Drosophila melanogaster: one gene and its partners. The protein of the gene in region 2 interacts with the protein of the main gene of each other region in a pairwise test. Each region holds a gene or a part of one and is shown on either strand. Other genes may lie near its edges. The genes, in order: CG15269, CG42727, achi and CG10321.

Region 1 (7,921 bases), on a different chromosome or scaffold from region 2:
CGAACCGGCGGTGAAGATCGGAGTTCGGTGGGGAAATCCCAGGCAAAGTTGATCACCCGCTGACAGAAAATCACTTGGCAACGCGGCTGATCATTAACCGATAACACATGACATTAAAGAGTTTCACAAAGAAGTTTTAAACGCACACAAAATAAGATAAATGCCGACCACCCCAATGAGGGGGAACCAGTCGACTGAACCACAACGCACAATCCCGACAATAACGAGCGGAAAATTAATAGTGTGAACAAAGAAGAAGAACCATGGGGAAGATCGAGGAGATGGAGATGGAGATGGGGATCTGGGCATCTGAGATAGGTATCAGCTTACATTGGAGACGGCCCCAAAACGACGACGGTAGTAAGGAGTTGGAAATTTGTCAAAATGTCAACGGGTGAAACAGTTTTGGAGCGTTCATGCGAGTCACCTGGATGCGTTGCGATGGGATGCTACGGATGGAGATGGAGCTGGCAATGGAGGGACTTCGCATGGGGCAGCCACGTAGCTTTTGTAAAACAAACCATTAGCAGCTAATAAACATTAGTCATGCGACAAAACAAAGTCTCCTGGAGTCTGCTGCAGAGGCCCGATGATTTAGTGAGTGTAATTAAAACTTAAGTTTCCTTCGCTTCGCATATGTAAATTATCTGGCGGAATTCCACGAAATGCCAACCGAACTGAAAAAAAAAAACGAAATACGAAAAAGAGTTTTTCAACTAAGGTTGAACAAGTTTTGTGGTGTTCGCCCGGTCCTCATATGTATAATTATAATGAATAGCCTGTTTAATCAAAATTTATGCAGATCGTGGTCAACCAAAGCGAGCAGCGCGTGTTGACAGTCAAACCATTATTAATCACTGGCAAGAGGATCGGTAGTTGGCTAGCGCGGAGGATTTGAAGGGGCTTCTCCGCCAGGTAATCCTGATAAGATCGTTTTGTAAGTGATCGTGGACAAATCGTGTGCAAGATTGTGCCTTGCGCATTAGAGTCTCTCTATGCGGCAATTGGCAATTAGAAAACAGAGACTTTCAATCCTCCAATCCTTGTGAGTCAGAATATCAACTCCATTTCACCGGATCTCATTCCATGTAGCTGTAAATGTATACCACTTCATTTGTATCTGCAGCTTCCTTGAATTCGCGTGGTGTGTCACCATTTTACTTCACCTGTGTATGGATCCTCCGAATCCTCGGCCTGGATACCATGTTATTTATGCGCGTTTCATCCAATCACAAATCACTTGAGGAGCATTTTGTTTTGCACATTTTTATGGCCGCTACTGATGCTATGCAAGTCGAGGAAGTGGTCACAGTCCCTCTTGGATGGCAACTAAATGTAGTGGATCAAGCTTAAATGCTTCAGAAAGAGGTATTTGTAGGGCACCCTTAATTGGCATAGGCTATTTTTTAATAAATTTATGGAAAAATATTTGGGTTCAAATTGTTGTTTCTTAAAAATTCTTTACTTTACTTTAATGGCACAGCACGTCCTTAATTACTAAAATATTTCAAGAGGGTGTCATAATCATCCATATATGATTATTTAGACCTTTTGGGCTTACGTTAAGTTTTTTGGCCAGTGTGGTCAATCATGAACCGTTAACAACCCTTTTTAAATTCGCAAGAAAAATACCTGATTTCCTATACACCATTTTGACGATCGTTTGACGGTTATGTCATCTAGTCCCTAGCTTCAATTCCTTCCCACACTCACACATGGCTAAGACTGCAGAGCCGTGACGAACCAAGTCACCTCAAGAGATGATCGCTGCGCATGCGCATAACCGTAAGATTCACACATGCCTGGGAATCGGATTCGGAATCAGCGAGGATGTGAATGTGGACGGGGATGAGAATGTGTGTGTGTGGATGAGGAACAAGAGAAATACATTTTGAAAATTTAACGATGCGCACATTTTATTACCGCAATTAATTACAAAAACAACGCGGCCAAAACGAAATCTTAGTCACTTTATCAGAGAGGTCCAGTGGATAAAAAAAATGAAAGAGAGTAGTGCACGGAGAGCGATCTGAAAGGAGCGATAAGGTTTATGATAGATGTGACTAGTAGAACGCTACTAGCAAATGGTTCTGGGTCTGCAGATTGCAGCTCCTCTCGTAATTGGAGGCGCGACAGTTTGTCTCCAGCAGTCAAACCTGGTTAATTGGAGAAGAGACTCCCGGTCTATGAGAGAGAGAGATACGGAGCGAGACCGACCTGTACGGTCAAACCTGTTTCTCGACCAATTAAATTCGAGAGCGGGAGCGTAAGCCAGGCTTTAGGCCCGGCCAAAAGACGATGACGGCTGCTGTGGGCTGTGAGGCCAAGACATTTCGTGTTTCGACGCGTAACGCGACAGTTCCCCGGGCTAAAAAGCGCCTACGCCTCAGAAAATAGTCATCCGAAACGGTAACGCCTGCGGTCTATGAGTGATTCTTCGGTGTGGAGAAGAATGGGTTTCAAGCACGCCATGCTGCAGCGCAGTTACGACCTTTCGCCCTCGCCGGCGCGTACTTCACCCACCAATGGAGTCCAGAACTTGGGAGCTGGGGCACAGTTGCCACCGGCTCAAGTCACTGACTTTAGCATCAGTAAGATTCTGGGCAAGGAGCGTAAATCCGCTCAGGATACGAGCACGAATATCCTGGATCTATCCAAGAGCAGTAGCAACAGTATTAGGAGCCCACAGGCTCTTGGAGGGCTGGCAATACCATCAACTCCTTATGCCTCCGGTGCCTACTCCATGTTGCCGCCAGATTTGGTGGCCATGGCCAATGCCACCAAGTTCTATGCCCAATTCTTCCCGCACTTACTGCCCGCCTATGCGGCTGCTGCAGCGGCTGCCGGCTTGAGTACTCCTCCTACGTCGCCCTATCAAACACATCAGCATCAGCAGCATTTGCCAAATCAGCAGAAACGCTTCTTTGCTCCCTATGTGATCAATGGATCGGTTCCCCCACCACCACCACTGCAGCAGCAACAGCAACCTCTCATACGCACCAAAAGCACCGCATGCACTCGTCCGGATTGCCCGGAGTGCCTGGATTATTACCAAAGATTGCAGACTGGTGGCTATAAGCAGACCGCACCTCTCATCTCACCCGCCGCCTCCTCGGTGAGCAGTTCCACCGGATCAATACGTCCTGTGAGGGATCTGATTATGAGTGCCACTGGAGGAGCCGCCAGCACTAACATCTCACTGACCACCGTGACCAATCTGAGTCTGAACTCGGTCCAGGCAACGGCCGTCGGAATGATGCCCAAGATGACCGGTGGACTGATCACCACAGCCGTCGGCAGCAACAGTGGAGCAATCGGTGGTATCGGTGGATACAATGCCACATCCGCCGAGGAGATCAGCTACAAGTGCCGGATTTGCGAGAAGGTATTCGGATGCTCTGAAACTCTGCAGGTGAGATTTTATTATTGTTATTAAATTATTATTACGATGGTGTTCTGTTTACAAGTATATATCATTTATGACAACCAAAGCGTTTAGTTATCAGTTATTAGCTTTAGAAAAGATAATTCATCCTAAATATATTCCAAACTCTAACCCAAGGATTCAATTTATTCTTAAAATCCCTCAAAAACGAGTAAACACAAAACACCCACGAAACAAATTTTTATATTTATAGTGTAGACAGAATTTTAATTTTTTTTATTTCATTAGACCTTCAACTTTTAAAAAATGAAATACAAATATTCAAAAAATATATGCAATTCCCAATTAGAATTTAAGAATGAAATGATTTAGATTTGCCAGATTATATTTTATTTCAGTTTGCTGCTGTTTAGTTATAAAAAAAGCGAAACGAAATGAACGATTGTATGAAATTTTCTTATAAATTAAATAGCACAATCAAACTTATACGTAAAGTCACTTAAAGAGTTTGTACTTACACACAAGCATTTGGCAAATGCACGCGTATTTTTTTTTTTAATTATAAGTAACAAAAAAATTAATGATTTAGATCTCATCAACGGTTACGTATACATTTATCACAAAGAAATATGTGTTTATGCGGAGTACTAAATGATTGAGAATTATTATTGCAAAGCCATTAAATAACTTTAGGAATTTAACTCCTTTCAAAACATCTAAGCCAAGAACAGCATTAACCTTTCACATGGCCATACATCACATAAGATATCGTTTGGCCGGTCCTCAAAGTCCACATCCACACGAGATCCTCCCAAAACGGGTTTCTTCACCAACAGAGATACCATATGGATTTGGGCGGGGCCTAAAAAACAGAGAAACAGTAGTCTAATTGGAAGGCGGAGCTCCGAAGAAAAGAGTGGAGATTCAAGTGGAGTGGGGAAGAGAGAGGCAGCGAAGAATTGAGTGCCTTATGCAAATCTCGCAAGCAATCCGAGTTCAAAATGGAGTCGGCCGAAAACAGAAACAGAAGCGGGCAAAAAAGAGAGAACTGGTTTTACGCATGGGTGCAGCTACAAGATACGTTAGAAAGGGCCAGACGCCGAGCGAGAGGTAATCACAAAATGGCCACTTTGGGAAAGAACACCAATTTCAGTAGCTAACTGAAGCAAGCCACATTTGAAGTTGCAACAAAATTATTACAAACAATGGGGAACATTCGAATGTGTAACCATGGTATTTTTTGCATTTCTGGCTTATTTTGTATAAGTATAAATGTGTCCAAAGCTCAGTTTTCAGTAACTTTATATTCGAAATCTTCCAATCCTCACTAGAACTTATAGAATAAGGTATTAATATTAGGACCTAATTAAAATGTTGCTAAACATACTCATCTTGAAAGCCTCCCTTCCAAAAACTAACTAACTAACGAACAGTTTGTAGAAAATCGCTGTTTTATGAATTTCACAACAGATTTTCACTACCTCAGGTTTTTTATTAAAATTTTAAATCTCTTACTATTGCTACAATATTACTATTGCTAAGCTAATGTATCTTATTTATTTATCTTATTTGTCTATTATGTTCTTATTTCAGGCTCATGAAAAGACGCACAAATCGCCGCGTTACGAGTGTGCGGATTGTGGAAAGGGTTTCTCCCAGCTGCGAAATTACAAATATCACCTGTCCGTTCACCGAGGAACCAAGGAGTTTGCCGCCGAGTGTCCCGAATGTGGCAAGACATTCAACGATAAGGGATATTTGAGCAGTCACCTAAAGATTCACCGGAACCGGAAGGAGTACGAGTGTCCTTACTGTCCCAAATCGTTCAATCAGCGTGTGGCCTTCAATATGCATGTCCGGATTCATACCGGCGTGAAACCCCACAAATGCAACGAGTGCGGAAAGAGATTTTCGCGTAAAATGCTGCTCAAACAGCACATGAGGACGCACAGTGGTGAGAAACCGTATCAGTGCTCCGTGTGCGGCAAGTCCTTTGCCGATCGCAGCAACATGACCCTGCACCATCGCCTCCACTCGGGAATCAAGCCCTTCAGCTGCCCCCTGTGCCCCAAAGCCTTCACCAAAAAGCATCACCTAAAGACGCATCTGAATTACCATACAGGCTGCAAGCCGTATGTCTGCCCACATCCCAACTGCAATCAGGCATTCACCCAGTCGAGCAATATGCGAACCCACGCTAAGAAGTGTCAGTACCGTCCGTTGGATGGACTCACGGTCACATCATCCGCACTTCCAGTACCGGGAAAACAACAAACAGGTCCACCGCCCACTTTGGCCATGGCCATGGCTCAAACATTTCAAATGCCGCCACCTCCTGGAGTTCTAACACCTGGATCTGGTCCATCCCAACCGCCGAGTCAGCAAACCCTTCTCAGCAATCTCAGGACATTCTAAATGGGTGGAATCGTTGTGCCCGGCCAGTTTCAACCAAATTTGTGGCAATTACAAAGTGCAGTACTTCCACTGTTGTTATTCAATTTACATTTATTTTCAAGCAATAATTTTGCTAGAAATTAAATTAGGAATAGACATTAATTATTATTAAAATAGGCATATATATTGGCCAGTCAATAAAGTATAATATCAAATACAAAAGGATTCCAGGATTCTAGAAATAATATTTTGGATTGGAGATATGATTGGGAGTCCAACTAGGTAATTTCGCTTATAATCAGATAACGCAGCCTTATTTAATTCAAATCTTCTAGTGACAAAAATTAAAAGATGTATGTTTTTTTAGTAAACAAATGAACGAACCGTTGCAGTACATTTAACATATTTAAAAGTGCGCTCTCACTCAGCCAGATGGCGCCACCTGATAGTTTATTACCACTGTAGGTGTGTTGAGTAACTAAACGAAATCTTGCTGTTAAATTGTATTCACAGCTGTCCTAAAACCGAGTTGGCAGCCCTTTTCCCCTCAAAAATCGAAAGTCTGTTAATATATCGATAAGTCAAGGCAATTGTCAGTGGTACCGTTTCGTCTGGTATGACCGTGTTGTGAAATTTTGTTAGAAATTTACAATATAAGCGAGCATAAAAAACGCAGGAAAAGCGCAAAAAAATCAGTAAAACGTGCCTGCGGACCCAGGCTGCGGTGCGTCCAGTTGGCCGTAGAAAGCCTTTACCAAATTCGATCGAACTGAGAATTCGATTCGGTTAACTTCTGCATTGGGCTCAATTTCACCATTGCACACGTGTCTGGAGCTTTTCCTGGGTTCGGTCACCTCCTCCTCGGATTGCGGACGATCCCGTGGTAGCGCTGGGAAATGCCCAGCAGAGGACGGCGGGCAGTTCGAGATTGTTCCGGCAAAGAAGCAGGCGCAACTGCAACAGACGCTGGTCACCAACGACAGCACCGGACTCTCAATGGCTGAGTACTGGCAGCAGTTGACCAACGGCGCCGGAGAAGCGGGACCCGGCAATGAGTCATCCGCCATGGCAGACTGCAACGGAGGTCACGAATCGGCGGCAGTGGGTGGTTCCTGCAACAGGCACAGCAACAACAATTACGTGAACTTCAATCAGTTCATTATGCAGCACAATCTGGGTGGAGGAGCGCCCTCGAATGCCACCAGCACTATGCAACATCCGGTGGGCAGCAGCTACACTAACTTCTCCCTGGGCGGCGGTGGAGGAGCCTTTGGACTGAACCCACCAGTGGCATCCGCGAGTACCAGCCACTTTGCAAATGTGAGTCATCAATCTCCGAATGTATGTTTCGATATATTAGAACTTAGGTTTAGTCCTAATGAATCAACTAATAAATCACAAAACAGTTTTACTCGCAGGCCATGATCCCAACCTATCAAAATGGCGATGGCATCGCTAGAGTCACCGTCACCAGCAGCTATGGGTCGGTCAATCCGAGCAACAGCAATTTTTCGAGTTTTTACACACCTTTTGGCAATAATCCGTTTGACTTCAGCGCTTCCAAGCTGCAGGCCTCGGCTCCGGAATTCGTGCCCAATTTCGCCAAGCTGAGTCTAGAAGAGACACCGGCAGCCGCCACTACGAACGGAAACAGCACTGCCAGCCTAGAGACTGCCATAAATGAGACGAGACCTAGGACTCTGCGAGCCCAAGAACCAGCTGAACGAGGAGCTAACAACCAATGCTCGAACCATAATTACGAACGGGAGCGTGAGCGGGAACGTGACCGGGACCGGGACAGGGAAAGAGACCGGGACAGAGACAGGGACAGAGACCGGGACAGAGACCGGGACAGGGACAGGGACTCTAGACCCGGAAATACGCGACAACAACGCCGCTCCGACTATCGGGACGATCGGGAGGACCGGTACGAAAGAAGCGATCGTAGGAGGCCGCAGAAGCAGCAACGCTACGACAATCATCGCAGCAACAAACGCAGGGATGACTGGAATCGCAACAGGGACCGCATCAACGGCTTTCCCAGGGCCGTTGACGATTTGGACACGAGCAATGAGAGCGCACACCCATCGCCCGAAAAGCAGTCGCAACTGCAGCAAATCTCCCCAAGGCGAGGTCCACCGC
Region 2 (6,902 bases):
AGCGTGTTGACGCAGTGTAGCAGGAGGTTTAGGAACTTCATGTGGGCGGCACTTAGCCCCAGAAGGGCATACTCGCAATGGAACATCAGGGTGGTCAGTGGCCGAAATGATTTGTGGGAATCGGAACTGAGCAAGGAAGCACCCCAGAAGTCGTGCGTGAAGATCGCCGTCCAGTTGGTGGGCAGTGAGTTGACATCCCGGTTCTTGACGATGGCCACCGTATCATCGAAGACAAACTTCGCTCCACTGAGGCCACCGCATCCGTAGCATAGCAAACAGATTAACACTAGGATTGCCTGACAGACCATGCTATGCAGCGTGGCTTTGTGAACGAGGTCTAGCATACTGGATTATTTACTAATTGTCAATTGTTCAAGTTTAATTCACTTATTCTGCGAATTTTAATCGGAATTGTTTTGTATACATTTTTTGTTGTGTTTTTGTCCAAACACCCCCTCACTGAATAGTGATGCCAGATCAGCGATAGAAATGTGTGCAGCTTAGCTAAATATATGCATCGAAAAATATATGGTTATAAAATGATTTGAAATTACGCTAAATAGATCTATCAAATCTGCTCATTTTAGAGTATTCATATTAAAATAATTATACATACTCTTGATATTAAAGTATAAATAATAGTAATAACAATAAACCACTAAAAGCAAACAAGACATTCGCCCGTTAACGCTTGCAACAGCTGTTTAAATCTAGATCAAAACAAATCCGAGGAAAAATTTGTTGAACTCACAAAGAAAAATTAAATCCTCGAAAATGTCTGAAGAAATCCTTTTCGATTGCCTCCATGCAGAGATAGTCAATTATTGTCTGGATAGCAATAAGGTAGGAACACGAGGGACGCAAAAAAAAATCAGTCATACAACCGATTTTGATTTGGTTCCGCCTATTAGGAGCACGACCTGGCCACTTTGGAGTATATAGGCTTCACCACCGGCTACCGCCTGATTGAGCGGCTCACCCGTGAAGTTTCGCGTTTTAAGGACGAGTTGGAGACTATGAAGTTTATATGCACCGACTTCTGGATGCTTATATACAAGAAGCAAGTGGACAACCTGAGGACGAACAACCACGGAATGTACGTTGTGCAGGACAAGGCTTTCCGCTTTCTGACTCGCATCTCGCCGGGCACCAAGCAGCTGGAGCACGCGCCCAAGTTCGTGGCCTTCACGTGCGGGCTGGTGCGAGGAGCTCTCAGCAATCTAGGCATTAACAGCACCGTGACGGCCGAAGTGCAAAGCATACCCGCCTGCAAGTTTCACATAGAAGTGAACAGGAACTAATTAGGATGTAAGGCAATGGTTTATTACTACAATTATAGAGATACTACAGACTAGACTAGGCTATCTTTTCGTAGAATGCCACAATGTTGTGGTCAGTCCAGTTAAGGCGTTCTCGCAGGATCCACTGGTCGATGGGCAGTTGGGGCTGGGCGGGATTGGGATCTGTGTGGATTCCCAGGGCGGGCAATGGTCCAATCAATATAAGCCACTTTCCTTGATACACATTTAGATAGTCCAGAAAAGCTCCTCGATTGTTGAAGTAGCAGAAGAGCAAGGCACACGGATGAACGTCACTGCAGCATTTGGTCAATAAATCCGTATCCAGTTGGCTGGCATCCTCTAAATAGTTAAGCGGTATAAAACTTCGAACGGAGTACTTGCTCTGCCACCAGTTGCGATCGACCTCCAAGCCAAACATGGGGACTTTCCGACCTCCAGACACTGTCATAAGCCATTCCAAAAGCCCACTGCCGCAGCCGATGCTCAAAACTCGCTGGATGTCGTGCATGGCTAGCAGCTGATTAAAGTAGTCCAAGTCCACCGATGTCGGCCACATCCAGAGCAGCTTGCGCTTGAGCTGTTGGTCCAGGCAGTCGCCCAGGACAAGCAACTTGCGCCAGTTGCACGACGCATCATCAGTTAGGTAATAAATTTCACGCAGTGTCTCGAGTTCCGATTGCTCGTCCATCATATTGAATACTGTTAGTTGCAAATTAAGCGGTCTTGCTGCTTCCGATGGCCGGTGAACTTGGCAGTGACGCCGGCACGCGGAAATATGGCTAGCGGCCAACAAGATTGCTGCGGTTCGCTTCGGTTCGCAGCACCTGACTGATCTCTAATAAATTAGAGGACCCCTTTGAAAAAGGGCCAACTCATTAGAGATCATATCGTCACTTTGTGTTTTCTTCTTTTTGGTACCAATATTTGAAATTCTTGCGCCAGTGCATCTCGCTAAATTTGGAGCTACCTTGCCCCGGGACACGCGGCTGGTGATGTTGCATGGCTGGTTCTTGGGCATCGGGGCTAGGTTCGCTAGAGTATTCCTCGTTGTCCAGATCCAAGATGATCTTGCGATACAGCTGGACATTCTCCTCTGGCATTACATCTGGCAGAGGCAGATGCTCTGGGACAGCTTTCCCTTTCTCCATCTGCAGTTCAGGGAGTTGAGATGGCAGTGGCGTAGATTGCAGCAACATCACTGGCTCAACGTTGCCCACACTCTGGATCACACTGTTGTATCTTACAGTCTGAGATGGTCTTTCTTCCGCCGTCGTGGCCTCCTGAGCACTGGACCTCGGTGTAACCATTTCAACAGTACTGGCAAACGCACAACCAGGGTGCATGGATCGCAGATGTCGCAGCATGTTGTCCTTTCGGTTGATAGTGATGTCACATTGGATACAGCGGTAGCGTTCGGCAGTCTTGTGTTGTCTTAAATGTCGGCCCAGAGCATCCGGATCATTGTAGCTTTTGCCGCACAGGGAACAGGACTGACGTTCGCGATTTGAGTGGCGCTTCATGTGCAGCCGAAGCGTGGTTTGTCGCAGAAAGGACTTCTGGCACACTTTACACATGTGCCGAATATTGTTCTTGTCGTGTTTCCGCAGATGCTGGTTCAAATTGGCCTTGTTCTGGAAATGCTTAGAGCAGAGCTCGCATTTAAATTGCAGGCCGAGATCGCTGTGGATCGCCAGGTGGCTGGCAAGAGAGCTCTTGCGGCGGAAAACCTTCTGGCAGATTGGGCACAAATGCTTCTCCTGGTTGTGGGTAAGCATGTGGCGCTGTAGAACAATTGGTTGCTTGAAACTTTTGTGGCAGACGCTGCACGAGTGTTTTGATTGTTTCTCATGGCTCATTAGATGGTACTTTAAATGTGAACTGGTAGCAAATCTCTGGAAGGAAATCTCAGTCATGAAAACTACACACAGCATAAGTACATGCTGCAACTCACGCGTCCGCACTCCTTGCAGTTGAACTTCTTGAGAAGATCGTTGCCGCAGGTGAGGTGGTAATACTGCTGGGTCCGGCTGCGAAAATCCTTATTGCAGACGGTACAGTGGTAGCCCTTATCTGTGACAATTATTCGCTTATCAGCCGACGTCCTTGCTTGCGTTTCCTGTGTCTCCTGGATATCGACACTTCGTGCAACTCGACATTCCAGGCAATCCGATACATCCGCCACCAGGCAGAGACGACACTTGGTGTGTCCACAGCTGTCGGTGACGAGGCGATTCTGTCCTGTAGCATCGCAGTTGCAGCGAGGACATTTATTCATTGCTAAATTCTAAATGCATTGAAATCGCACATACAGGAGACTAAAATTGCAGCTATGCTTCTTCTTTCTCGCAGCCATTCAGCACGAAACGTAAACAAAGTACACGGTCAGAAATACTTTTCATATATTTTACATCCTTTATATTAAAACTAAGAATAAAGATCTTTTTATAAGAGTACTATGAGCTGAGATTTTGTTCGTCCTGCCTATTCACATACATCGTTCATCTCCAGGTCGGCCACATGACCAGGAAACAGGTGCGCCTTCTGCATGGGTACGTGCACAAAGTAACGATCACAAAACTTGGGGTTCCGCCGAAGCAGGACCTCAGTCAGTATTGTGCCATAGTCGATCTTCTTGGTAATCAAAAGGCGCCGGCTCTCTCCACTCCCATAGCTAGCGGAACGCAAGCCAAATTGTCTGGCGATTCTGTAAAGGGAAATGCCAACATAATAAGCAATTATTTTTTACGATGTGGGATGACGGTGCTTACTGGTGAAGCGTGGTTCTTTCTTCCTTCGAAAACGTGGGCTCAAACTGCATGTCACGTATATCGTCCGATCTCACATAGTTTTCTATAAGCCGTCGGTAATCAGCGAAATTTCCCTTTGGATTTATTAATCCAAGACCATTACGATTGTTCTTTAGCAGATAACTGAAAATATAAAATAAAATAGTTTCGTTTGGTGATACGTTAAAAGTCGAACTCTTACCATACGGGCTCTTCACGTCCCTGCTTCAGTCGCCCTAAGCCACCGCCTGTCCAGCCCATCAGTCGCATCATGCGATATCCCTTGTTGCTGGGGTCCAATTTGGGATCGCACGGACTGTCGGCGGACTCATTGGTGACTTTGATGTTGACGCCGTCCTTGTTTTTTTCCACCTTGATGGTGTCGCGCGTGGCATTCAGCTGTGTAGCGTAGTACCGGGTTTAATAAGGCATACATTATTTCAGAAATTTCATACCTTAATACTATAGCAATAGGACTGGATCGTCAAATGCGCCTGCTTATAGGCAGCTTTCTTGGCCGCCTTAAGGCTCTCCCCCTGTCCTGTCGCTATTACCTCATCATTTACTAATAATTCGGCGTATTTTGTATTATCGCTTAATGGCTGATCTCGGCTGACACGCTCTTCGTACTTGACATTCGCAATGTTGCAGGAGTTTTGCAGGCAGGCTCGTCCCCCAGCCAAGTACACAATGAGCCGACCGAAACGCAGATCTTGATAGAGATCGACTGGATCTCCGCCGCCAAAACACTGGCGTTTTATGTGTGAGCTATCCTCTGGGGAGCTCGTCGAGGGAAGGGGTGGAGCCCGGCGCCCTAGTAGTTGGAATTAGGCATTAGGCTTTGGTCTCTCTGGCTCGTATAGTTACTAGTGATAAAAAGAATCTTCTCTCGCCTATGGGCCCACTAATTGTTCAGTCGTCTACCTTTGGCGCGCTGCTCCGCCGCATCCGACGCCGAGACAAATGTTCTCTTCAGGCGCTGTTCCCGTTTCTGACGGAAATCCGCTGCGATTTCCTTGGACAACTCGGCCACCAAAAGCATCGTCGCGCTTGGATACTTGCAGCCCATGAACTCCATGTTGACGAACGTTTGGGCCAGGCACACCAGCCGGTCCTCCTCAAAACGATCCTTGTGGGCCAGCATGAAGCTGCGTCGCAGATCCCAGTGCTCATCACTTTCGTATTCCGTCTTGTAGCTGTCTACATCCCAGTCCAAGGAAAATTCCCCGGATCCATAGCCGGCATCATCCTGTTTTTTAACTTTGACTTTCTTCTGCTTTGGCTTGGATTGTTGAACGGACATCTTTACAGGGAAAATAAATAGCGTTCAACTTGTCAAATAAAATGAGCACAGGCACGCTTGTTTTTTGATTGCTGCTTTCCCATTCACAGCGAATTATCAATTCGATTGGCCATGTGTTGCCCATTGGCTATCGATAACGCAGCGATAACGATAGGCCCCATCACGGCTATACTTTGTCGTGCGTGTGTGTTTTTAAGTTCCTGCCTTTTAATTCATGATTTTTTGGTAACTTAACAACAATTTGGAGAGCGACGCGACGCCCAAGAAGTCAGAAACGAATTGCCAAAGTGTCTCCACAGACGATTGCCCCAAAGTGAGAGATCGGATCAGCCCAAAGCAGCCAACATGAGCATACCCAACGAGTACATAGCGAAAACGGAGGATGTGGCGGAACAGGTAAGATATATTAGGTTCCACTGCCAAAAAGAAGTCCACCAGGACTCCATATCCACCGCAGGAAGCGTCTTCCCGATGCGCCCCAAATGGCGTTTGCGGGGAAGCCCTGGCAGCTGCAAACTGGGAAAACTGCCAACGTCACCCAAACGCGGCAAAGTTCGAGGGTCTTGGCTGCATATAATCACGATCCGCTGACATGGGGGCAACGTGCTGGGCATTTGCTTCCAATAAGAATCTGGGTGCAACCCAGATGATGGGTTTGCCTTGTACTCCAGTACCGCAATTGACAGTTGTTGCGTCTGCCGCAGGGAAAACTCTCTCTCTCGCTGCTTATTTTCTACCTGTGTGCTGATGCGTATGTGTCTGTGTGTGTGTGCGAGAGAGCTGTCTCCGCAAGTGAAAGTGTTGAAAAAGAAATAGCGGGCAGCTGGACGCCAGCGGCCAGGTCGAGTTCCGTAATAGTTGGGCTAGAAAGCCAGGTGAACTTGCTCGCGATTTACATACATACATGTATGAAGTTACATTGACAGCCGGGCCAAAACCCGTTAGCTGGCAGATAGCAATCGAGAGATACTAGCGTTTAGAGACACGTCACAGCCAGCGGGCGATTTCTAGCGACTACGCGCAAGCCACGCTCAACGGCATTGTATATTTAAATCCCTTATCACCTTGTCAGTAGTCCCCTTATCACCATATCAGCACCCATCCCAATTGCTCTCAACTCAACCAGAACCAATCGAACACTCATTTTTGCAGGTCATCAAGCGCGGCAAAAATGTGCTGCCCACAGTGGCCCGTTTGTGCCTCATCGCCACGTTCTTCGAGGACGGCCTGCGCATGTACATCCAATGGAACGAGCAGCGGGAGTACATGGACATGAGCTGGGGCTGCGGCAAGTTCCTGGCCACCGTCTTTGTGCTCGTCAACCTGTTGGGCCAACTGGGCGGCTGCGGCATGGTGATGGCCAGATTTAAGGTCGACATAGCGGTGGGACTGCTTTTCTTCATTGTGGTGTTGCAGGTGAGTCTGCATTTATATCAGCCAGAAGCAAAAGCCTTGACGTTAACCCGATCCTCTGTTTGCAGACCGTTGCCTACTCCATTCTGTGGGACTTCC
Region 3 (7,988 bases), on a different chromosome or scaffold from region 2:
CCAAACTGGAGTCCGAGTGGAAACGGTCACGTCCTGGAGAAAAAAACGGCCATAAACAAGACTGATCTCAACCGGGATATAGGAAACTCACCCTCGTTGTTCAGCAGGCTCGCATGGACATGAGCCTCGTGCATCAGGTCCTTTATGTTCTGCCGTACATGGCGATCCAGGACCATGTTGACCTCCTCTTGTTCCGGCGAGATCATTGCAGCTCAGACTTAAGCTTCAGAAAACAGAAAATTCATTAAAACACAACCAGAATCGGTGTGCAAATATTGAAAGGAAAAGCACAGTAACTTTAATTACAATTTTTGCAAACAGAGAAAATTGACACTTTTTAGTTTCTTTAGGTGTTGTCACCACAGACTTTGAGATTCAACTAACTTTTCCCGAGGGCAGGCAAGTCATTCAGACACCAAAGTCATGGCCAACTAGGGTTCAAAAACAAATTTTTTCAATTGATTTTTAAAAATGGTTCTTTTCAATCGGTCTGCTTGTATCGAACGTATTAAAGTAAGTAATTAAGTACAGGAGAATTTTATAAATATTTAAAATTAATTAAGTTAGGGCCAACTATCGATAACTATCGCACAAACATTGCGCTTGCACACGAGAGACCATGAATATTTAGACAAATTCACTGCGCGCCCAAGTAACGGGCGTCTCGAAATGTACTTTTTACCTTATCCAAAATTTATAAAAATTTTGATTTGTAAAATTTAGACAAGCGCATTTATTTGGTCAAATGTAATATCATTTTGATTTCAGAAGATTTGTATGTTGGAGGTGCGATCGTCACTTGTTATACCCGTTACTCGTAGAGTAAAAAGGTATACTAGATTCGTTATAAAGTATGTAATAGCAGAGGGAAGCTTCTCCGACCATATAAAACACATATATTCTTGATCAGGATCAATACCCGAGTCGACCTGTCCGTCCGTCCGTCTGACTGTCCGTTCGTATGAAGTCAGGAACTATCACAAGTTTGTGGACCTATTTTGCCACGTCCACTCCAACGCTTTCAAACCGTACAAAATGCCACTCCCACACTTTTGAAAAATGAAAACTTTTTGCCACGCCCACTGTAACGCCCTAAAACAGCGCAAAACTCACGCCCTCATTTTTGAAAATTTTTGGATATTTCTTTTTTCCGAATTATCTATCAATACCCCAGAAAAATTATGAAATTTCTTGTTCACATTTTCACATATATGTACCGGGTATCTGATAGCCGGGGAACTCGAATATATCATTCTTTTTTTTTGTTCTATAGCTTTATAGTTAAAAATCGAATCATTTTGTTTTTGCGCCACTCTTTATTATCTGTGGTAACCAAAGTATTCCAATACATTTATAATATTTATAACAAAATTAATTTTGTCCTTCCACAAACGTTCTCATTTTATGTATGTATGTGTACATAATTACTAGATACCTTAAAAAAATGGCTCTATCAGCCAATTAGATAAAACACACCATCATTTTATGGCAATGTGTATTTCAAATGCTTGTTTATGTTTTATTTAAGTATCAGTAGTGTACATGTTAAGTTTAAAAGAGTCAGGTCCAAAACTAAGTCGATTTGTTTGTGAATTGACTTTGTGGAAAAAGGTATTTGGGCGGTCGCATTGCGAATTGATCTATAGCTTTGTACGTTATGTTAGTAACCTACTCAATTAACACAATAACATGGGGGTTATAGACAAATTTTTGGGTCTAGTGCTGTTCGATTAAATTACTTAAGTATATATATATATCTATATATACATATTTGTATATACACGCTTCGGCACTTTGGGAAGTCGGGATCTGTAGCGTGGGTATTTGGTTTGAGGCTCTAGTCTCCCATGTAAACGAAATCGTCATCCTGGACGTCATCGTTTTGGCGCACAGCCATGGCAGTTTCCACTAGATAATAGAGACACTTGTACTTGGCACGCTCATCTGGACTTGTGCCTAAAGCAAGATTATAAAATAATTAAAAATTCAATATAAAGTTGATAAAAATAGGTATAGGTTACCCTGCGACATAGCAGATAATTGACTCTGGCCAGCTTCTGCTTCGGCACCGGTAAACACCTCGTCCGCCTGTAGATTGTCACCAATGTCCTGTTGATTGGAGTTGGTAGGATCGATTGTCTGGATTTCTGAGGCCTGTATTCTATTCAGCTCGCTTTCAAAGTCAGTCAACTGTTGATTCACTTTAGGAGTAAAAGAGTTGGATATTACCAAAGAAACCGAGCTCTAAGTCTGCAAACTTCACTCACCGTCACGCTTCGCAGTCTGATTGCGATTCCAGATGGCGGTATTCTGAACAGATCCCTTAGAACCAGAGGTACCTGGATTATTGCCAGCCGAAGTGCTGACTTCCTCAGTACCAAATACAGTTCTGGAATTGCAGAGGCCGAGATTACAATATTTTCTTAATACATCCACATAGCTACTTACTTTATAACGCTCTGCCAATCATGGGAGGTCTCGAAGCGTACTTCCTCCTCGCTGTTCGGCCCACAGGACTCGTATCCCTGTGCACTCTCTTCGCCTTCGGACCTGGGGGTAAAAGTAAAATCTTAGCACCGCCACTCGCACTTGAGTAAGATTTAAGGCTCTGGATCAGTCAATGGGAGCAGAAGCTGTACCTAGGAGACACCACGATTCCGCCGTATGAATCCTTATAGCAGTACATGGTTTCTTGCTTATTCCCAGTCTTCTGCTTTGCTTGCTTGGCATTCTCCCTAGGACTCTTTGCAGCAACCGTCCGCGTTCTTACGCGCTTCGGAGGTCTTGGCTTTTCTTCGTCATCGAACTCTGGCGGCAGCTGGCCAAAAAGGCTGTATGGCAGTATTGATGTGGCAGGACTGGAGTTGGAGCTCGACCCACCAGCACCACCAGAGCCAACCGCCGAACCCCCAATGGCGGCAGCCTTGCGCATCTGATAGTTTTTAATTTTATCGATCATGGTTGCTTGAAGCGAGGAGTGAAGACTTTGAAAGCCCATCGGGTTGTTTGCAATGGCCTGCTGCCAGCTTGGAAGAGGAAAAGGAGTTTGGACATAGGTGGGATGGGATAGGAGATAGAAGTGACTAACGCTAGGGAAGCAGGTCATAAAGACCGGTTACCAGTTACCTGTAGATGACACTGTCCTCGTACTCCGGCTCCATCTTGACCATTTGTCCGTTGGGGCCCTGCACATACTGTTCAAAGTTGGTCAGCACATTGGCGATGCCCTCGTGAATCTCACCGGCGCCATCCACCTCCTCTGTAGCGCCAACGACCTGGAGTCAAGCAATTTAGTAACTTCAGTGGTATAATGATTGACCAGAAGATAACACACCACTTCGGAAGCAGGACTTCCGTGTGCGGGATTCGGCCCAGTCAAGTTTGCGCCCAACGCACTTGATCTCGAACAGTTGGGGCTAACCTTTTTGCCACGTCGCGATATGGTGAAGTGCAGAGGATCGTTGCCCTCGCGCCTGATCATCTCCGGTAGAATGCGGCGACGGGCATTGATGAACCAGTTGCACACTTGGAGCACCGTCAGATTGGCCTCCTGGGACAGGGTGAACTTCTCCGCATCGCTCGGATAGGCGTTATAGCGGTGCTCATAAAGCCAACGCTTTAAAATCTTTACAGAGGTCTTGGGAAGATTTCCACGACGTTTGCGCAGCGACCCATTTATGTCGATGTGGTGTTCACTGTCCACCATCATGTCGTGGTAGTTTTGCACCTGGTTGGCGCCGTGTTCGGTGCTCTGATCCTCCTCCACGATGACGTCAGCGTGAAGAGAATCCTGGTCCAAACTTGAGTCCGAGTGGAAACGGCCGCGTCCTGCAGATGACATGCAAAAAAAACGGGCATGAACAAGACCGAACTCGACCGAAATATAGCAAACTCACCTTCGTTCTCCAGCAGGCTCGCCTGGACATGAGCCTCGTGCATCATGTCCTGGATATTCTGCCGTACATGGCGATCCAGGACCATGTTGACCTCTTCTTGTTCCGGCGAGATCATTGCAGCTCAGACTTAAGCTTCAGAAAACAGAAAATTCATTAAAACACAACCAGAAACGGTATGCAAATATTGAAAGGAAAAGAACAGAACTTTAATTACAATTTTTTTTTTTTTACAAACAGAGAAACCTGTCACTTTTTAGTTTCTTTAGGTGTTGTCACCACAGACTTTGAGATTCAACTAACTTTTTCTGAGGGCAGGCGTCATTCAGACACCAAAGTCATGGCCAACTAAGGTTCAAATACGCATTTCAAATCGATTTTTGATTTCTTTCCAATCGGTCTACTTGCTAAATCGATTAATTTCCAAGGAACTATACATTAAACGAACGTATTACAGTAGTGAATTAAGTAAAGAAGAAATTTAAAAATATTTAAAACAAATTAAGTTGGGGCTATCTATCGATAACTATCGCACTGGCACACGAGAGACCATGACATATAACATGTCAAATTGACACTTTAACCAAAATATTTTGACAAATTCACTGCGCGCCCAAATAACGGGCGTCTTGAGCTCCCGGGGATTCACCTGCGATGTCCGAATGGGTGCCACTATCATTTATTTACACTAAACACTGGTTTTCCCAGTGTTTCAGCCAGGCCCCGGTTACTGCACTCAGCAAACTGTAGTGACGGGGCAGTCGTCACAACCGTAGTATCGAGGCCAATTAGACAAACTCTTTTTGCAGACAACGTAAATATAGTAACGAACGTTGGGGAAAGCTATTTTGGCACTGGTTTTAAAGCGTTTTATTCCTTTTCCTTGCTGCGTGCCAAACAACAAATTAGTGGCGAAAGAAATCCGATAGCCGCTTATGTGCGATAAATCATGGATGGGGGTCCACTGGGGAGTTAGTTCAGTTGGCAGGTTCATTTGAAATTTGAACAGTGGCGCCAAGAATAAATACAAGTTTTGTTAAGTATAATTTGTTTAAGAATTATAAACATACACTAGTTATCTCTACGCTGGAAATTAAATCTACATTTAAAATAAATAAGTTATATTTAGAATGTACATAATTTTTTCTAAATAGAACAAACTATTTTTTTTATAAGTTTTCAACCTTTCAAGCTTAAGATTTATGTTTTAAATGTCTTTTTCGATAACTATATAAATTATCGATATGTATAGACGTTACTGTCCTAACCTATCGACGACTGAAAAGGTTTGTTTTGTTGCAAGTTTATAAACAAACAATGGAATGCGTGCTGGACGAGGAGCTGCTGGCCAATATTAAATGTAGCGACCAGGAGGAAGAAGACGAGGATGGTGAAAAGATGGAGGTGGAGGAGCGGCTGCCGCCGGTCGATTCCACAGTCCAAAGTGCCTCCTTTAACGGAGATGACTCCGATCCGCTACAGGAAGCAGTATGCAATTTTCCCTGGATTTTCGAGGACAGCGACATGCTGATGAACGAGGACCAACTGGCTGACGTGGTGCTGAAGAAGGAGGATTCCGCCAGGCCAGCTGCCCCGAAGCGAGGACGTGGTCGTCCACCAAATAATAACGGAAACTACACATCTCCTTGTGGGCAGCTATGGAGCGTGACCAGGAGCCCAGATATTTCTGCAGAGGATCTACCCCTTTTGGGGCAACAGGCCTGTGGCAAGGGACCCGCCCGAACAGTGTCCAATGCAGTGGAAGCATGGATGCTGCTCTTCGATGATGAAATGCTGCGGTCTTTACTTCGCCATATCAATGAACAGATGCGTAAGCGGAGAACGGCCACAAGTGTCCAGAGACCCCTAGACGTTGTGGAGCTGCGGGCATTCTTGGGTCTAAGCTACCTTTGTGGAGTGTTCCGAAATGCCAGGCACAATGGGCCATTGGATGAGCTGTGGACCCTGGAGCTGGGCAATGCCATATTCCGAGCATCCATGTCGCTCGCTCGATTCGAAAGCATTTCCGAGTGTCTGGCGGGAAATTGCGGCTGGTCCGAGGGCCAAAAGCTCTGGCAGCGCCTTATAATCAATTGCAGATCCTACTACGGCTGCAGCAGTTGGTTGACCGTGGATGAGACATTCTGCGCGGTGGCCAAGTCACGGATGACCCTCTGCTGTGATGCCAGGACACTGTACATGGCCAATGCAGTGGTAAGCAGAAACCAGAGATGTCCGGACAAGGATGTAGAACAACTGATCTGCGATTTCAAGACCACGGGAAGAAATGTAACGCTGGGATCACGGTATCTAAACTTGACGCAGTGCGAGCAGTTGGCGCAGCGGCAAATAAGCTCGTTGGGTAAGCTGGAGGCCAATTCGCCACATTGGCCGCGGCAGTGGCCCACAGAATCACCCTTGTTTGGTGGCAGCTCAAAACTCATTCCGCTCGATGGCGACGCAGTCTTCTGCTGCGGTCTTAGCTCCCAAGTAGATGCAGTCCAGGCATATGAGCAAACCTCAGAAGCCTGTCAGCAGTTTTACGAACACTCCCAGCGCTTCAGCACAGCCCACGCTACGCCCGCACCCTTGAAAAAGCAGATCAATCCTTTTCTGCAACTACTTCACTTTGTGCTCAACGCGGCTGCCGTGAATGCATGGATCCTGTTACGACTTTCGCCCAAAGGCGATGCCGCTATGGATCAGCGCGACTTCCAGAGACAGTTGGGACTCTTCCTCACACAGCAGAGATTACAGCGACGCCTTCAGCGAAGATCCACCAGCACTTCGCTCGTGATGCGACTGCAAATCTGCGAAATCCTGGGCCAATCCAGTCAGCGGCTGCTCAGTGAGGCGACCGGCGAGGCGAAACTAACGCACAGCGTAGGCGTGCTAACACCCGACAAGATGAGCCTGCCCTTGGGCATTAATTTGGCTAGTCGGTACGGAGAGAAGCATCGCAGGTGCAAGCCCTGCGCTCGAAATAAGCGTGGCACTAAATCGCGGACGCGGTGCCAACAGTGCTTGCAACATCGATGCGGCAACCACTTGATATCCCGCTGCTACGAATGCGTCGGCATTTTGCCTGGCCAACTGCCCGAGGGCAACATGGTGGATGAAGGAGCCACCTGAAGATGGATATTAAATAACATTTATTGAAGAGACACTACATTCCTTGTGGGGGCTTGCAATATGGGGATGCTTGCAATATTGCTCAATGGTGCAAACACTTGTGCTGTAACTACGATGACAACGGCTTAACGATGGAAACTGGGGACTAGAACTTGTACTGGAAGGACTTGGGTGCCTTGTACTTGCTGGCCATTCCCGAAGAGTCCACAGGATCGCTCTGGTCGAGGAACAGACTGAGGAACTGTTCGTTCTGCAGCTCATTTAGCGGCATCTCTAATTCACTGCAGGATTTGACAATCTCAGCGCAGGCTCGCAGATCCTTGCGCATATCTAAAAACGAAACGGGAGTTACATAATATTCGGTTGTGTTGCACAGACTCACATTGATAGTTAAAGAGCAAGCTGAGGCAGCTGGAGCAGGCCAAACGCTGCTGGTGCTGCAAGAACGCCTCGATTAGCCGATGCACCGCATCAACATTGTTACGGGCCAGAAATGAAGAGCACAAAGAACTGGCTCTGCAAGGAAGGTTACATTGGGATTCAAATTTCGGGTTTTTAAAGAAATTAAAGCGACTTACCTCCTCTCCACTAGCTCTTGCAGCTCCTTGTAGTGCTCAAACAGTTCCGAAGCCGATTTTTGATCGCAAAACCAATCGCTAGCGAAGCATTGCTTCCACACACAGGCCACCACAAAGATGTCCTTGTGCTCGCGGTGAATGGCACGCGCTACCTCCAGCAGCGACACTAGCACCGCCTCACTCTTCTGGGCCAGAGTCTCCTCGGAAATGGTGCGGAATGCGGAGCGCGCCATCCGCCTGCCCTCCTCCGAAGTCATGCTTACCCCGTAACCGCGATGTAGCGTCATCAGGGCCACGTCGGCGTTACCATTGTTCCACAGGGCGATGGCGCGGAAGGGCGCCAGATCCGCGTAGGTCTGTGAGAACGGGTGCTCCAGCTGCCGAC
Region 4 (8,264 bases), on a different chromosome or scaffold from region 2:
CGGTCAGTTTAGTAAACAATATATTTGATTCTCTAAACAACACTTAATTTCCCTTTCATATTCTTACGCCATTTTTGCGGCTGTCGCTGTTTTCGATTTTTGTTTACCCCAGTCGTCGGTTTAATGACACAAACAAAGAAGGAAACTTGTTAAGTCAGCTATAAAGCGATCGGAAAAATGTTGTAGTCTTCAATGAATAAAGAGAATAGAGAACGCAATCCATGAAATACAATCCTTTCCTTTCCTTGAGTTCATCCACTCACTGGAAGTATAAACAAAGCCTCCACTTTACGATTCTTTGCAGCAGAACTTAAGGTTGTGAGATTCCAATATTGTTATTTTTCAAAAATATATATTTTTGAAAGTTTCCGTTAGCACACAAGCGGCGCCATATTAATAATTAAACTGCGCCTTCGATGTGCTCATTTATTCCCAATTGCGTTTTAATATCACAACCTCCCCAAAAAAAAAAGTGGATTTGGATTGGAAATACCCAGCACAACCAGCAGAAAGGTCATCTAAAAATTGGATTTATTTGCCTTGGTGACGTCGTGGATTTCGATTCGAGAATCTGAATAAATGCCAAAACCGCCGAATATTAACACAAAATATTGTGCATTAATGGGTTGTAAATGCGTGTTTTGTGACTCGCCTGTTGGCGAATCAAAGGAATTTATTATGAGCAATTATTTTGATCCCCCCCCCCTTCCACGAACCCCTCGCCAGTGCCAAATCAATTAAATTTGAAATGGATGACCAACTGTTGGGAGCCAACAGTCGCCGGTTTTTGTTCGATAGTGCGCGATCCGAAAATAGATATTTTTGAAATATGTATTTTTAAAACGTAAAGCCCCATTAACATTTTTCCCATTGATTTCAAATGTTTGAAATATTTTTGTGTAAAAAATACACTATGTGATAGACTAGCAAATTTGTAGGAAATATTATCTTAAAAAGAATTCTTCTATTTTCTAATTAATTCGTTTTGGCCTACGAAATTTATCTTGACATTTATTTGGCTGCGTGGCCAAGTTTTATTTCGACGGTTTAAAGTGCAAGGACTTTTCCAGCCAAGCATGAAAGCATGACATTTAAGATGAAGAATATATTATAAGTGCAATGAATATATACATATGTAAATGTAAATGTAAAGCATATGATGGTATAGGTAAAGCCCATTTTAAAAATGTTGCATTAGATACAGCTAGTTACGAATCAAAAATCTAGCTATCTAAAATATCTATGTACAATATAAGCTTTAGTTTGGGCCAGATTTTCCAACAGCTGGCTGGAAAATTAAGGGCGGTAAGTCGAAGGTATGCGTCATATTTGTAAGCGGAAAACCAAACCTTTATCTTATCTTGCGAAACGCGGCTGACCGCCATATATAATCTGAACAAAACAAATAAACGCCTGGCGATTTTAGCTGTCACAATGTTATTCCAATTGATTATTTTCGCGGCTTATTTGCTAATTAATTAACAATTTCTTGTGACAGCCGGAGATTTCAGACTGCGATCAGATAACCGATTATTGGGGGGTCACTTTTTATGGATAATATAATATATATGTATGTACATGTACCTAAATCACACTAATAGGCATTTACAGATTTACATAAGCATCCATACGCGAATCGTAGTTATCCAGATACTTCCCATAACCGGATGAACGCGACACGTGGCAATTGGGAATCAATAGACAAGACCTTGGCTTGATTGTTGTTTTCTTTCGATCAATTTTGTTTGGGTTCTGTTTTTTCCCGGTCTTCTGTCAATGCAATTGAACAACAAGCCAACAAAGCCAGCGAATTGGATTACACGCTTAAAAATAAATATTACCGGCCAGATGGGACGTACAAGAAAGACAAATTATGGTTTCATAGAAGGTTTGTTAATTTATTTTGTTGTTCAGTTAAAACAAATTCACTTATTTCAAAGCCCAACAATGAAAACCCAACGCCAAAATACGTTTAGCCTAAAATGCCAGTCTGTATTCCCCGGGAAAACAAAATAATAATAGTAGGGTAATAAAATTAAAAACAAAAACTGGCACAGTCCACGCAGGATTTATGCCCCAAGCGTTTGGATGTGAGGATCCGCCTCGATCTGCCTACCTAAAGTTTCGTATCTGCTTACAAAATTCGAGTGAATCGCTTAGGTCCTACTAAACAAGTTCTACGACAGAAATCTAGGATTGCAATATTTGTGTAGTTGTGCTTATTCCTAAATTGTTATCTAGACGGGGGTAGTACAAAAATATATATATATATATGTATATATATTACATCTAAGTGGTCATCTAAATGCCGAGCAGGCACTCGCCGTTTCCAGGAGCGCCCGCTGCGGCAAACTCCGCTGGCTACGCCTGCGTCACGAAGTACACCTCGCCGGATGAGCCCATGACCACGGCGTGGGTATCGCCCGTGCCGCCGGCCAAAGTCGTACCCTGGCCGGTTGCCATCATGTTCGACATGTCGGTGGTGCCGTTGCTGACGATGCTTACCGCCCCGCTGAAAGCATCGTCCTGGCCACTGATCTGCACCTCTGCACTGTGATCCGTGCTCTCCACATGCAGCTGCAGTGAGTCCACGTTGTCGTACAAAGATCCGCACTCGCCGCACTTGAACAGCGGATCCACAACCTCCGGATGCTTGCGTTCTACGTGCCACTTGAGGTTCACCGCGGACGAGAAGTTCTTTCGGCAGTTGGCCACGCCGCAGCAATACGCTCTCTGCTGGTGCGTCTGTCTGTGCCTGTACAAGATCGCCTTGGACTTGAAGGTTCGATTGCAAATGGTGCACATCGGTGTGCTGGATTCAGCGTCGTGCGTCTTCATGTGCATCCGCAGCATTCCTGGGCCCTTAAAGCTCTTTAGGCAGATCTGGCACTGCGGCTGTTTCTTGCAATTGGCCCGTATCCAGTTGGTGTGGGAGTGCATGTGGTTCTGCAGGCCCTTGAACTGCCGGAACTCGGTGCTGCACAGGTGACAAATGTATCTCCCAGATCCCAGAGGCGAGGTGTGCTGTCGTATGAACTCAGTTACCAGATTAGCATCTATTTCGTAGTTGTCGTCCGCACCGGCGGCTGCAATCACGCTGGCCGTCTGCACCAACTGGCGAGAGTTGGCTGCGGCCAGCTTGCTGCTGGTCGTTGATCCAGCGGCAGGTGGTTGGTGGTCGCAGGGTTCCAGAGTCACACCGGCTGGAATTTGGTGGTTACTTCGCTTGGCTCGCTTTGGCGTCGGACTGGCCGAGCTGACGGTCATAGTGGGACCCACCAGGGCTTCCGTTGTAGTTGTGGCCTGGCTGAACTCTACAACAGCGTTCTCCAGTGATATGCTCTGCATCTCTTCTTGGTGCTGCTGATGATGCGACTGCTCAGAATCCATGAATGCCTGGTCAATGTCCACACTTGTCTCGCCATCCGGCGGCTCCATAATGGAATACTCCAGATCGTCGTCTACGTCGCCGGACAAATGCGGATCCTGTTCCTCACCGATGTACTCACAATCCTGGTCGATTTCCTCCCCATCCGGATCATCGAGCATCTCGTCATCCTCCAGCTGAATCTCCTCGATTATGAACGTATCCTGGTCCTCTTCGGGCTTCATTTGCTCCTCCTCGTCTTCTATCTCGTCCATTGCTTGCTGTTGGTCCAAATCGTCGAAGTACTCATGGTCTTGGCTTTCACTCTGCGTGAGATCCTCGTTGATCATTACTTGGTGGTGCTCGTGGTGGTCCTTTAGGAAGTCCTGCTGCTGATCGTCGTCCAGTACAATAGTCTCAAAGCTGTGATCTGCCTTGCTATCCAGTTGCTCGTACACATCTTCCAGTTCCTCGTCTTCCACCTCACAGCCGTCCTCCAGCAACTGCACGTCGGCATCACCGAGAGAAGCGCCTACATGCTGACCCATATCCGTGGCGTTGGTAGTTGTGGTCACTGTCGTGACTCCGGTCGGAGCCAAACTGCGTTGCGGCACAAGTTGAACCAGCTGCAGGGTCTGCGTGCCATTGGGCTGCTGAACAATCTGCAACGTCTGTCCGTTCGGCGTCTGTAGAAGCTGTGGCAGGAATTGCGATTGCGCAGCGGTGGCCTGACCATTAGTCGTTGACTGCGGCGCTGTGCTGATGATCTGCGCCAACTGCGGCGCTACAATCTGAGCAGTCGTTATCAATTGGCCGTTGGGCAACAGGATCTGCTGCGGCATAGTCGTGGTGGCACCGGCAGCGGACAGTAGCTGGGCGGGAGCAGGCTGAAGTGTGGGCATATGAATCTGCTGGATCTGCTGCTGCATAGTGGGCTGTTGCGGCGCATGTTCCTGCATTAATTGCATCTGTGGCTGAGGGGCGGGCTGCGGGACTGACTGTGGTGCTGGTGCGGCCTCCAAATGCCTCTGCTTCTGCTGGCGGGAGCCCTTGCGGAGCAGCGGCTTCAGTTTTGGTTTGGCAGGAGGCTGATGCTGTTGCTGCTGGACTATCTGCTGCTGGAGTTGCTCCTCGAGGATTTTCTGTTGCTTCTGCAGCTGTCGCTGTTGCTTCCGCTCCAGCTGAAGCTGCTGCTTAGCGTTTGCCGCCTCCTGCTGCTGCTGCTCCTCCATTACCAGTGCCACGGTAAGACCGCGGATATACTCGCGCAGCTCCTTGTCGCTGCGCTCGACGAGCGTCTTGAAGGCGTGATTCCGGCTTACGGCGTGGACGCACTGCACGCAGATCTTGTCCGGCCAGCCCTCCGTGGGCTCCACCCGCACGCTGGTACAGTCCATCAGCATTTCGGGCACCTTTTCGCTGAACAGCGGGCGCATCTCCTTGCGCTCCGAGATGCACAGGCGGCAGATCTTGTCAAGCTCCAGGACCTTCTTGCGATCCATCACTTCGTGTTCCTAGGGGGAGGCTGCAATGGGCCAGTTTTTTTTAATTTAAAATAACCATTAGAATGAGCGGATCCCCGAAAGGTGCATGAGTACGAGGTTTGTTATGATTTGCCCGCCAAAAAATGGTCAATTAAAATTCAGAATAATTTCATCTGTTGTAAAATGACCTGCTAACCCGCTGTTAATAACAGGGACTGTCGACACGTCTGGTAGCTCTTGTGCCAGACAGAGACAGCCATATTGTTATACACAATTTACCATCTTGGTGTTGGTGTGAGCGAAAAATGCGATTTTTAGGCCCAAAAAACGAAACAAATACATAATTCCCGACTTGAATTGGGTAAATATTGTTTTCGATTCACTTGCACCCGCACTTAGAGCACCTTTCGACCGGGTTCCCGCAACAAAAATGAACTCACCTGCGCTGTATTTATGTAATTTTCGCAGCTCGCCCCACATTCAACACAAAAAACTCTTTAAATATGGCCGCGTCACACAAATCGCATTCGGAACTCACATATTTGTGGTTCAGGGCGAAACACACACGTTCCCAGAGATGCGAACTTCAAAACCAAAACAAGTGCACACCAGTGGGTCTTTCGGGACCCTGATCGAATGAAATCACTAGCTATCTCTGGCGACGTTATCAATAAGGTTCTTCCATGAGATGAATGAATTGATGAACTGAACTTCTGCCTCTATCTGTCTTTCTCTGTGTGCGAGTGTGAGTGAGATGATAGGCGTGTTGTGAATGGCGCTGCCAACGTGGTATAAAGACAGAAATCCCTAACGCATGCCGGTCGGAAATCATTTTGTTTATTTCCTCAGATTTCTAGATTTCTTTTTAATACTTAAAACTTCTTATGTTTAAGGCATGAAATTCCATTGAAACTTACCTTTTCTCTATTTACAACTTAGGTTTTTGATGTGGGTCCTTCAGCTCACAAGTCTCTTTAATTTCTCGATTTTAGAGCCATTCCTTGCCGTTCATACCAGGGGATTTCTTTACATATTCAATGAAACACACAACAGTTTTTTGACTCACATTAACATTTTCAAGCCGAAATTTTTAATAAATCTAACCCAAAAAACGAACACACAAATTTTAATTCGAGGACATAGCAATTGAGCTGCCAACTCGTTTTTTAAACTGACATTTCGAACTGAAAACACCTGTTGATCCTGGTGTTATTTTCTGATTTAGAAAACTTAACTTAATGTCCATAATTTTTAGGCGGGTGGAGGCACATTCGTGTTGGCCACTTCGTACATGTGGCGCTTCTTGGTTCTCCTGTTGTGAGCGCTTACTACAATGTATATGCCCAGGATAATAGCGAGGGCCAAAAGCAGACAAGTAATCACAAACCAGCAGTAGAATCCTGGACCTTCCTCATCGTAATCCTCTTCCTGTGCGTTCTCCCACTCGGTATAGTTGCCCGATGGATCCTCCCTTATCTGGCCAACCTTCGGCTCTCGGAAAAGCGAGGCCTTGGCCAGGTTGCTAGACTCCGGAGCCATGAAAACCGGCTCCGTATAATCTATTCGGATGAAGGTGAGCCGGGCCCCGGTCAGAGTTTCCTTATAGCGTCTCAGCCCATGGCCATAGTACTCGTATATGTCGGCGTCGAACTCCCGATGCTGGTCTACCCATTGACCAATCACCTGCACCTTCACCTCGCTCCTGGGGTCCATGCTTCGTCCGAAATAGGCTTTTTCCGCAACATCCAGGCCACCCATACCATACAAGTCCAACTCGAGAACAGAGGACCGGTGCTCGAAGAGCAGAGGCAGCCTGGATAGCTTCCTATGCTGGTACACACTGGACATGTTCACAAGGATCTTCTCCACAAAATCGTAGTTCAGGCTACCGTAAATGGGCTTACGTTCGCCACTGGGATTTCGGAGCACACTGTCACCCAGGTGCATCTTGTAGCTGTTAGTCACATTGCGCCACGGCAGGTAAGTAATGTTCCTCAGCTGGTATGCCAAAGGTTCCAGTTCCACCAGTACGTTAATGTTATCCTCAAGACCATACTATAAAGATAACATATTTGTAGGACATCAACCGAACCATCTTCCCGAGGAACTTACAAAGTTATCGCCAAAAATCATGACCACACAGGTGAACAGATTGTCGGACACCGCATTGACAAGATCCGTGTGTCGGAAGTGACAGAGCTCTGTCTTCTCCCGCTCCACGTTCGTGGCCTTGGCAATGTATGTCAGTCGCTCCTTGGGATTCAGCTCGGCCGCATAGTTCTTGAGCACGGTGTGGTAGGGAATCCAGGCCAGGACCGAATCACCTCCGTTGGCGCACACCTCCGTCTGAACTCCCCTTCCAGTCAGTTCTCCGTTGCGCAGCCTAAAAAAGTGATGGTTATCTCGCCTGATTGTGGTGGAGCCATGATCTGCGCACAGGGTGTCCACGAGGTTTGCCTGGAAAATGAAGAGATAAAAGTAAAAGACTGAAACAAACACCTTGTTCGTATATAACCACCGTCTTCGGCTTATCTCAGGTCCGCCGGCATTATCTTCTTCAGCTGCGATGGACACTTTGTCACTTTATCGTCAAGCTAATTCAATTTGGAATATCAGCCACTCGAATAATTTATTGGCTGGCATTGGATTTGTCACTTAAGGATGTCGATGGGGCAAACTAGTTTGGCGACGCACCATTTGCCATTAAAGGTAGGGAGTTTTTCAAATTGAGGCCATTTTTAACAAATATGGAATCGTGCAATCTGCCTTAGTCGCCAAATAATTGCACTAACTGAAATACTTTTATTCCAAGAGCAGTTGTATCCATAACGAATTGCCATAAATTGACTGTTCTAAAATTCCACTTTTAGTATGTTTGCTTACCCCCCAAGAAAATCCAGAAAACTTTAGCTTATAAATGGGTATTCCCATATGCCCAAAATTTTACCTTCTCGTTTTGGGTCAACGTGGTGGCCTTAATATGGCACTGTAGGTCCTCCTCGCTGGGGATGACCACATGTCGATCGATCTCCGACAGAAGGAGGGGATCTGTCTTAATGCAGAAATGAGGATGTTCATCGAGGGCCGCACCCAGTGTCACCAGCACGGCCAGGCATCCGATGATGATGGCTTTCATAGACATTTCCGCAGATCAGATGCACAGAGTTCTTCGATTGAATTGCTCCACAGCCGTCGATAGGCACACTTCGGTGGTCAAGTAGTAACTAAATTTGCAATTTTCTAACACCTGAGCAACGGCCTATACGAACGCATTCAACTTGACCGCCAAGCTGTCGCACAACGAACACCTTAATATCACCATATTTATCTACTGATGAAGGATTCGGCCGAGATTCGCTTCGATTTTCGGTGAGAGCCGGTCCGTGTCCGTAATAGCGTCACCGAAAACCCAG

The links.
Region 1: the proteins of CG42727 (region 2) and CG15269 interact in a two-hybrid assay, tested with the Drosophila melanogaster proteins (one large-scale study listed by BioGRID).
Region 3: the proteins of CG42727 (region 2) and achi interact in a two-hybrid assay, tested with the Drosophila melanogaster proteins (one large-scale study listed by BioGRID).
Region 4: the proteins of CG42727 (region 2) and CG10321 interact in a two-hybrid assay, tested with the Drosophila melanogaster proteins (one large-scale study listed by BioGRID).

What each region holds. Positions count from the first base shown.
Region 1 is NT_033779.5:15,107,115-15,115,035, forward strand, and holds CG15269 (uncharacterized protein), read left to right. Parts: upstream 1-2,290; 5' UTR 2,291-2,470; coding exon 2,471-3,412; intron 3,413-4,978; coding exon 4,979-5,800; 3' UTR 5,801-5,978; downstream 5,979-7,921. Other genes in the region: stc (shuttle craft), read left to right, coding at 6,776-7,120, 7,186-7,921.
Region 2 is NT_033777.3:15,344,793-15,351,694, reverse strand, and holds CG42727 (uncharacterized protein), read right to left. Parts: upstream 3,648-6,902; 5' UTR 3,577-3,647; coding exon of another isoform or gene 3,253-3,576; intron 3,194-3,252; coding exon of another isoform or gene 2,192-3,193; 5' UTR 1,993-2,191; coding exon 1,357-1,992; 3' UTR 1,304-1,356; downstream 1-1,303. Other genes in the region: Tmtc4 (transmembrane O-mannosyltransferase targeting cadherins 4), read right to left, coding at 1-344; Trs33 (TRAPP subunit 33), read left to right, coding at 775-843, 912-1,301; CG42726 (uncharacterized protein), read right to left, coding at 2,192-3,193, 3,253-3,576; CG31301 (uncharacterized protein), read right to left, coding at 3,783-4,005, 4,070-4,231, 4,290-4,486, 4,543-4,901, 5,012-5,390; Surf4 (surfeit 4), read left to right, coding at 5,736-5,786, 6,543-6,806, 6,872-6,902.
Region 3 is NT_033778.4:12,510,234-12,518,221, forward strand, and holds achi (achintya), read right to left. Parts: upstream 4,830-7,988; 5' UTR 4,543-4,829; intron 4,166-4,542; exon of another isoform or gene 4,111-4,165; intron 4,029-4,110; 5' UTR 4,012-4,028; coding exon 3,897-4,011; intron 3,829-3,896; coding exon 3,335-3,828; intron 3,276-3,334; coding exon 3,127-3,275; intron 3,027-3,126; coding exon 2,640-3,026; intron 2,551-2,639; coding exon 2,449-2,550; intron 2,390-2,448; coding exon 2,268-2,389; intron 2,202-2,267; coding exon 2,022-2,201; intron 1,957-2,021; coding exon 1,838-1,956; 3' UTR 1,301-1,837; downstream 1-1,300. Other genes in the region: vis (vismay), read right to left, coding at 1-33, 92-206; CG13151 (uncharacterized protein), read left to right, coding at 5,211-7,025; CG8818 (uncharacterized protein), read right to left, coding at 7,171-7,355, 7,408-7,541, 7,604-7,988.
Region 4 is NT_033778.4:21,632,009-21,640,272, reverse strand, and holds CG10321 (uncharacterized protein), read right to left. Parts: upstream 5,595-8,264; 5' UTR 5,292-5,594; intron 4,893-5,291; 5' UTR 4,870-4,892; coding exon 2,362-4,869; coding exon of another isoform or gene 2,302-2,361; 3' UTR 1,874-2,301; downstream 1-1,873. Other genes in the region: CG15674 (uncharacterized protein), read right to left, coding at 6,103-6,906, 6,964-7,308, 7,799-7,987.